Linked DNA regions of Oryzias latipes. Each later gene encodes a partner of the first gene's protein in a complex. Links are inferred from orthologs where the notes say so. Each region holds a gene or a part of one and is shown in the gene's direction. Other genes may lie near its edges.

Region 1 (3,814 bases):
CTTTCAGAGCAATTCCCGGGCTTCAACAGTACCAGACAAAACACCGGAATTTCCACAACATTTATACCTAAGAAAGTCCTAAAAATTTCAAATGAAAGCTTGGTGGTTGAGGCCAAATGACAGACATTCACACATGTTGGAAATTAACTTGAGAATATAAAACAAAAAAACAAAGGCATGAATAAAATCTGGGCTCAAACAGGACAGCTTCAAAAAAACTCAAGAAAACAAAAACATGACGAAAAGGATTTGTATCTGAAATCAAAGACTACACTGAGGTTGTAACACCGGATGGGAAAACAAGAGTGAAGATCCAGAACAGCAGGGTGGAACAAGACGTAAGCAAACAGATGAAATGCACGAAAGCTTAAAGTAAGAAATACCTGAGAACAAAATTTGAAGACGTCTTCACAACAGCTTCTATTTCTAATTTATGTACCGAGGTGACCCTTTACCCAAACAGATGGAGAAGGTGACGGTCATTTCCTGTTGATAGTTCTCTGCACTTTCCCGAAGTGACTCCTAATACAGCGTTTCCTCGTTTATTGTGGGGCTTACGTTCTTAAAACAACCCGCAAGAGGGGAAATCCGTGAAGTAGAACTGCAGTCAGTAAAACTCCTCACAACACTTTCCACAATTTAGTCCAGAGGTGTCAAACTCATTTTCACTGAGGGCCACATCAGCATAGCGGCTGTCCTCAAACGGCCAGATATGACTTATACATGTCACTAAATGTAATGAAAAAAAAACATGTTTGCTTGTTACTCTTTCATAAATTCTTTTACATTTGATTCTGTCAGGTTAGGTTATATGGACAGTGTTTAAGTCCTAATGTATAGTTGCCCAATCCGTTATTTCAAGTCCAATTCCTCATAGATGTGAATAAACACAAACAAATTTTTATTTTTATTTTAAGAATTTGAAAACTTTTATGCTCTCGCGGGCCACAGAAAATGACATGGAGGGCCACATTTGGCCCCGGGCCTTGAGTTTGACACATGTGCTTTAGTCAGACAGACATGAACATTTTCACACTTTTCTCTCTTATTCAAACTCTCAAAGTTCAAATCTTCATAGAAGATAAAGTCTAGTATTATAGATCTGATTGCAATCAAAGATTTATGTCGATTTGGAAGGTTGAACACATTCTGTACAGGAGACACGGCCATGAGGAGATTGATTGACAAGGTCTACAGCCAATCAGGACACAGAACACTGTGTACTAGCGTTTGCATGCCAGCCCTAGTACACAGTGTTCTGTGTCCTGATTGGCTCTAAACCTTGTCAGAACACAGCGCACTAGGGTTGGCATGCAAAATTGTAATGAAAACTATCAGCGAGACGGTGAAAGGTGAATATAGATTATATATAGCGAGGGAACACTGTATCACCACGGTAACAGTAGGGTTGCACATTCTCTCCAAACCACACAGTAACCATCTTCCTTGACATTGTGTCTTTAAGGTGGAGGACCCAGAAGCTCGGCGTCTTTTCCAGCAGATCATTTCAGCCGTGGACTACTGCCACCGGCACATGGTGGTGCACAGAGACCTCAAACCTGAGAACGTCTTGCTTGATGCCAATAAAAATGCCAAAATTGCAGACTTTGGTAGGTTTTCCAGAGATGAACCTCAGCTGTGTGCTACTTGCCTCGGGTGGAAAGCAACATGGTGTACTTATAAGGGTAAAAAAATAAATCAATATAAAGTTTCACTCATCGGTTTGGGTTTTATTTATGTTTCCTTCTTAAAACAAAATTCCTGCTGCAATCCGACCAAGAAAGAGAAAAATAATTTCATAGGCACACAAGAGCTCAGTTGGCGGGTGTTATGGGTGAAGCGGCGTCCCTTGGTAATGTGTAGGTCTCATATCAAGTCTGGCAGGAAGCCTGAGGCCCAGTGTCATCTGATAGGAAATGAATAGGGGGAGTGCTGCAGGAGAAGTGTTTGGCTGAGAGCAAAAAGGCAGCAGATAGAAAGAGAAGGAAGAGATGAGGAAGAAAAGATAACGTGAAGGTCAGAGAGGCTCAGATTGGCTGCTGTTTAATGTTTGGCAGCAACCGGAACAGAAAGACAGCCTCATCCAATTAGAAGGGCTTTATGTCTAGAGCTTAGAGTCTTGGCAGGTTGAAGAGGATAAAGATCTCAGCAGGGCTTGAAATCACGTTGAAAAGTATCCACCACAGTTTTTATCACACAAAAGCAAGTTGTGATGTGTCATTGACCAACAGGACTGTCCAACATGATGTCAGACGGGGAATTCCTGCGAACAAGCTGCGGCTCACCAAACTATGCAGCTCCAGAGGTCATCTCCGGAAGGTGAGTCCGTGCAGAAAAGGAGAACAGTGGTTGGTGTTGTTCTTTTCACGCTAAAAGTTGTCATTGTTAGTGAGAAATCAGGGGAACTCTTTACTTGCAGCACTCATGCTGTTCTACTGCCCCTTCTGTTACCTCTTCCAGGCTGTACGCAGGCCCGGAGGTGGACATCTGGAGCTGCGGGGTGATCCTGTACGCCCTGCTGTGTGGCACCCTGCCCTTTGACGATGAGCATGTTCCCACACTGTTTAAGAAGATCAGAGGAGGCGTTTTTTACATGCCAGAGTACCTGACCCGCTCTGTGGCCTCACTGCTAATGCTCATGCTACAGGTGGATCCGCTGAAAAGAGCCACCATCAAAGACATCAGGTACTAACCCCAGTCCAGAGCTCTGCAGAAACACACATTGCTGTGGATTGAAGCACTCTGTGGTTGGCCTACATTGATGTTGCTGCTGCATTACCAACAGTTTAGCTATTATTCAAATGAATTTCCGTTCAAGCCTAGATGACCTAAATTATTACCTTTAGATGATCTCAGTAAGCAGACAGATTGGTGGTCAATCCATACTCTGTAGCTGATCAGGCACCTCCAGTCACTTTGTTTTCAAAGTTAGGATATCAGGCGTCTTGGAGCTTTGAAAATGTTCAATGAAGATATTTGATCCTTTAGTCTTGGAAATAGTTTTTCAAGCTCTGGAATCAAAAAAGGTTTCTTTACGACTGCAGTCATTATAGTCATGCAAACTCTTCATCCCAACGGTGGGACATTTGCTGATAATAAGTAATGAGTCCAAGGATTTCTGGGCTTACAGCAATGCTGCTTTTAAAAAAATAATGTCTTCCTGTTTTCATAGAGCTGTGGACGACAGAGGGTCGTGAAGACCAACGTTCAAGCTCCCACGTTTGTCTTATTGTGTTTGCTTTTGTTCCAGCCACTACAGAAGATCAGTTCTTTGGGGTTTTGGAAGTAAAGCAAGAAATAATAATTTAATAAACTCACAGAAACATCAGACTGAGGCTCGGGGCTGTCCGCTCTTTCCCCTGTAGGGTAACACAGGGTATTGCGGTTGAGCTGACTGTTCCTCTTGTGCTTTGTTAGGGAACATGATTGGTTTAAGCAGGACCTGCCAGGTTACCTGTTCCCGGAGGACTCGTCGTACGATTGCACTGTGTTGGATGAGGAAGCTGTTCGAGAAGTGTGTGAGAAGTTTGAATGCACAGACTCTGAAGTGGTGTCCAGCCTCTACAGTGGAGATCCACAGGTACTGACAAACATCAGGACTGTTTTTCAGAATTCACAGTAGTCTTTAGCTAAAGCTCCGACATCATTTCTAGTATTTTATGCTTGCAGTTGCACGCTGTAGGATGTCACATCTGAAGAAATGTCTTATCTTGTCTTCATTGTTCCTCCTCCTCCTGTTCACACAGGATCAGTTAGCGGTGGCGTATCACCTCATCATAGATAATCGACGCATCATGACGCAGGCCAGCGAGTT
Region 2 (4,599 bases), on another chromosome or scaffold:
TAATAATTAGTTCTTTGTCAAAGAGATTGATGCCTTCTACTGCACTGGATTTAATGTGATCTGTTAACAGTTGAGAAACTAAAAGGAAAAGACATGGAGAAACAGGACAACCTTGCCTAATTCCTCTCTCTAGATTAAATCTGGGAGAGGTGCCACCTGCTAATTTAATAGAGCTGTTAAAAATTTGGTATAATGTAACAATAGCTGAACCAAAACCAATTTTTTTAAGACAATGCAAAATGAATTTATGTTCTACGGGCAGCTGTGGGAGTCCCAGCTAGACGCTGGTTTCCTGGTTTGGCCTTGGTGAGTGATCTTGACATGTGGACCTTTTTAGTAGGGATGGGAATAGAAGCCCCATTAAGCCTCATTGGGGTTCATGTAATTGTGCCAGAAAAATAAACCACCCAGTCAGGGCTTTGAAACCACACAGAGTGGTGTCCTGCTCCGGTGCTCCTCCTCTGTTTTGTGTTTTCTTTTAATCACTGTTGGGGTTGTGGTTTGTTTGTGTGTATTGCGGCCCTGAACAGGTACTCCTGATGAGGGTTTGGATTGGAGATCTCCCTTGGGGTTGTTGGTGGCTATCCACTGGTGCAGTGAGGCTGAGGAGTCCCTGGAGGCAGCCGCCCTCATGCAGTGTTGGAGCGCGGTCCAACTGTACGAGTATATTGTAACCTTCAATTTTATGGAACTTGTGTCAAGTTTTTAATCACATTGTATACTAACCACTACCAAATCCAGTCTCCATTTGGGGTGTAAATGTAAGGGCATTCGGTCACAAGTAACAAAAAAAAGAAAACAACCACTGCATGTTTTATTTTAAGATTGAGGACATAATTTATTCCAGAAATGTAAATGTGTTCTATAACCGGTCCTTGGGTCTTGGCGGGCCGCACAGAATAAATAACTGTCATCCGTTTGCTTTATTTCGGAATCTGAAAGATGTTTTATTTTGAAAAACTGCTCGATTCTGTTACACCGTCTATGTCACTTGGACGCAGGCCAAGGCGCTCTTCTCGGTCACGTGATGGGTTACCGCTAGAATAAAACCCAGGAGCTAACAAAAGGAGTAAAACAAACTCCTTTGGAAAGTTTATTTGCCAAGGGGAAAGGGGCCAGCCAGGAGGCAGAAGAGGAGCCTTCCACTTCCAAAAAAAAAGCTACATTTGATACAGTACTTCTCTTTTGCACCACGAGAGTGGGAAGGGGAGAGGATGAGACCTGTGCGGTGTACGACATGTCTGTCAAAATAAAAGCTTGGTGTTCGTAATGTTAATGTCTCCGTTCCTCCATAACTTGCCTACAAAAGTGGCCCGCCACATCTTAAAGACCGTGTAAGTTTTGAATGACGCCATACCGGTCCGCGGCGTTAAAAAGGTTGGGCTAGATTTGTTTGTGTACACTTCAGACACCGATTACAGCGACTTCGTTACTGCGCATGTCCAGCTCCTCTGGTCAGAGCGGAAATAGATTGGCGCGGCGTCCTGTCACCCCGGTCAAAAGGAGGCGAACGGGCAATGGAATATGGATTGTGTAAGTGATTGGCTCTGTTTATTTGGGCACATTTAAAAGCCTACTCACAATATGCTCCTAACTCATCATACAATCATTAAAGCCGACGTTGGAAACAGTGCTAGCGTTAGCTGCTAGCTACGAACTTATTTTTCACGTTTGTTTTCGATCTGTCGGTTGTGTGTTTAGAAATCTCCCTATCTGAGGATTCGGCCTCGGAAACGGTTTATTTACGGGTATTCAAACATGGATAAACGGGTTAAATTGTAGTAAGCATAATAAAGACATTCTTTAAAGTCTTTGAACCAATAATTAACTCGAGAGGGAAGGTAAATGACTGACACAGACAGACCGTTAGCTAACAAGCTAACACGTTAGTGTAGAGAAAACCAGTAACAAAGGCTCTTAAAGTACTTTCTGCATGTTTATAACCTGTAACCTCGTCTTAAAGTATATCTATTCATGAACATCTTCTCAGGAACTAGTTTGTTGTTTTGCGTGGCTTCTCCTGGTGGTTAAATGAACAACGTCGGACCAGTTTCGTCAACGGAAATTGTTTTTATTTTACAAACGGGTAAATTAACAAATGTAAGTATATATTTATTAAAAGAAACTTTGACATGGTGCAAAATACGCAGGTGTGTTTCAAATAATCATTAACATGTTCACTCCGGTTCTTTGGTTAATCCAGTTATTTGGTCAGCCATCCTAACCTATGATTTTGGTACAGTTGGTATATTTTAAACTGCTCTTTTTATTATTTTATGTAATTGTTTCCCCAGATTCCAGTAACTATTGATGATCTTGAGGGCAAGAAAGACCCCGTCATTGAAGGTAACAGACTTTTCTGTAGATCTTATGACTCTGACGTAGACTGACTGAGGTGTGTTTTCATTTTTGTTTTGATCAATTCTTCAGACTCCGAACACAATGCGTACACGAGGTTTATGAAGTCTCATCGCTGTTATGATCTTGTACCTACCAGCTCCAAGCTAGTTGTGTTTGACACATCACTTCAGGTAAGAGAAACCTTTTAATCCATCAGATGAACACTTGAACGTTGGTAACTGTCAATAATTGTGCAGGTGAAGAAGGCTTTCTTTGCTCTCGTGTCCAATGGGGTGAGAGCAGCACCTCTGTGGGACAGTAAGAAACAGTGCTTTGTCGGTAAGATTTGTTTTGTTTGTTGGATTTCAGTTCAGTGAATAAACATCTTTATAGCTCATGTTTTTTTTCCCCTACAGGAATGCTTACCATCACAGACTTTATCAACATTCTGCATCGCTACTACAAGTCACCATTGGTAAGATGGTTTAGTCCGCCAGTGGACGAAGCCTTCAAATGTCCAACTTCAGCTGCAAGACTTCTATGTTAGTTACAGTAGCTACTTTCTTTAATACTCTATTTACACTTTCAGGTTCAGATTTATGAACTAGAAGAACACAAGATTGAAACATGGAGAGGTAGGAATGGTTGGAACAAGTTTTGCTGCATAGTTATTCTTACGTTCACTGCAGTAAGATCTTTTATGTTTCCAATAGAACTGTACCTTCAAGACTCCTTCAAACCTCTGGTTAGCATTTCTCCCAATGCCAGGTGAGCAGCAGTAGCACTTTAAACCTTTGTGTTTTTTTTTTTTTTTTACTTTAAAGTCTTGATGAGTGGGCAAACAATGTCTTTTGTTTTTTTGCCTATATTATACTATCATCTTTTGATCTATTCTCAAAGCGTTCCCAGTGGTCTTTTAATTGTGACTATGCCATTTTTAGCCAAAGTCAACAAATCTTCTCTAGGACATAGTTTCTGTAGAGCGGCAGTAGTTCATTAGAAATTTGCCTATGATTTGTGGGTGGGACTGTTGGTGTGGAGCAACCCCGCCCCCCTTCCCCTCCTGGTCGCTGAGAGCTTGGAGCAGGGTGCTTGTGGCCGCCCGCCCAGGGTATTTTCAACGTCACACATACGATCTTTTCTATGCGTCGCTTTTTTTGTGTCTGCTCCTAATTCACAGCAAGTTGAATAAAGCAATACTCAGAATAGCAATTTTGAGCTTAAATTTGTCTTTATATGTGTCTTCAATCATGAGAAATGCCACAAGAACATGTTAAAAACATCAAAAACCCAATTTTCATTGGAGTGGGTCTTTAAGGTGGATCTACAGCTGAGGCGTTCTCATAGAAAATTGCTCATTTCTAAGCCTTTTCAGGGCCGGCATTGGGAATAGCACTGGTAATTGAATAGGTCATCTCCGGAACACTGATGGAATAGTTTGACATTATCTTACCCCAAAAGAGAAACTAGGAAATGGCTTGACATGTTTGTTCAGGGATTCCACTGTAATCTGCAAATGCCTGAAAGCAATAGGTTCTTGACTGGGCTCTGTACTGAACTATGTCAGAGTTTTTGAAAAGGTAATCTGGTAAATGGTAAATAGTGTATAATTGTATAGCGCCTTTCTTCCTACAAGGACAAAGCGCTTTACAGTCACAGACCCATTCATCCAGTCACACACACATTCACTCACACATTCACACACTGGTGGTGGATCTGTACCTTATTAACCCCCAAAAATGGAGCAATAATGACATGAAGCTATATTGGTGGCTGCTATTCCAAATTTCAGCTTACGGTGGGCTTGTTTTTCACACTTCAAAAGCTTTAGCTTTATACTTCTTTATGTTAGCATCTGTCATTTAAAAAAGTGCTGACCAAAAAGTCTACATAGAATCTCACAGGATTTTTTTCCATAGCTTGTATGATGCAGTGTCATCTCTACTGAGGAACAAGATTCACAGACTGCCAGTCATCGACCCCCTGACAGGGAACACCCTGTATATACTCACACACAAGAGGATTCTCAAGTTCTTGAAGCTGTTTGTGAGTTCCTCTGAGGTCGTCTTTACCCGAGTTTCACATTTTACAGCAGTAATCTACTGTGGGGCAACAACTCTTTTTGTTAGCCTGGCAGCATTTTTCCATTGTTTTCTTGGGATGGTTATAATCTGTTGTTTTCAGATATCAGAGATGCCCAGACCCTCATTCCTGAGTAAAACCGTGGAGGAGCTGAATATTGGAACATTTAAAAACATA

The links.
Region 2: the proteins of prkaa2 (region 1) and prkag1 are in contact, whole or in part, in a crystal structure (PDB 6B1U), measured with the Homo sapiens proteins. The link is inferred for Oryzias latipes from reciprocal best matches to the Homo sapiens genes PRKAA2 and PRKAG1. Residues at the interface, in NP_006243.2 of Homo sapiens: Asp329, Asn330, Ile333, Met334, Ala337, Phe340, Tyr341, Leu342, His366, Pro367, Glu368, Arg369, Met370, Pro371, Pro372, Leu373, Ile374, Asn444, Val446, Thr447, Pro530, Arg531, Leu532, Gly533, Ser534, His535, Thr536, Met537, Asp538, Glu541; in NP_002724.1 of Homo sapiens: His36, Asp40, Leu41, Ile42, Pro43, Thr44, Ser45, Val50, Phe62, Leu64, Val65, Thr66, Gly68, Val69, Arg70, Trp75, Ser77, Lys78, Lys79, Gln80, Phe82, Pro158, Glu159, Ser160, Gly161, Asn162, Lys170, Arg171, Lys174, Phe175.

What each region holds. Positions count from the first base shown.
Region 1 is NC_019862.2:3,535,237-3,539,050, forward strand, and holds part of prkaa2 (5'-AMP-activated protein kinase catalytic subunit alpha-2), read left to right. Parts: intron 1-1,465; coding exon 1,466-1,610; intron 1,611-2,231; coding exon 2,232-2,319; intron 2,320-2,460; coding exon 2,461-2,685; intron 2,686-3,417; coding exon 3,418-3,580; intron 3,581-3,746; coding exon 3,747-3,814. UniProt on the Homo sapiens protein: Catalytic subunit of AMP-activated protein kinase (AMPK), an energy sensor protein kinase that plays a key role in regulating cellular energy metabolism.
Region 2 is NC_019863.2:4,032,915-4,037,513, forward strand, and holds the start of prkag1 (5'-AMP-activated protein kinase subunit gamma-1), read left to right. Parts: upstream 1-1,622; 5' UTR 1,623-2,031; coding exon 2,032-2,100; intron 2,101-2,294; coding exon 2,295-2,346; intron 2,347-2,430; coding exon 2,431-2,531; intron 2,532-2,597; coding exon 2,598-2,679; intron 2,680-2,756; coding exon 2,757-2,815; intron 2,816-2,929; coding exon 2,930-2,975; intron 2,976-3,053; coding exon 3,054-3,108; intron 3,109-4,259; coding exon 4,260-4,386; intron 4,387-4,524; coding exon 4,525-4,599. UniProt on the Homo sapiens protein: AMP/ATP-binding subunit of AMP-activated protein kinase (AMPK), an energy sensor protein kinase that plays a key role in regulating cellular energy metabolism.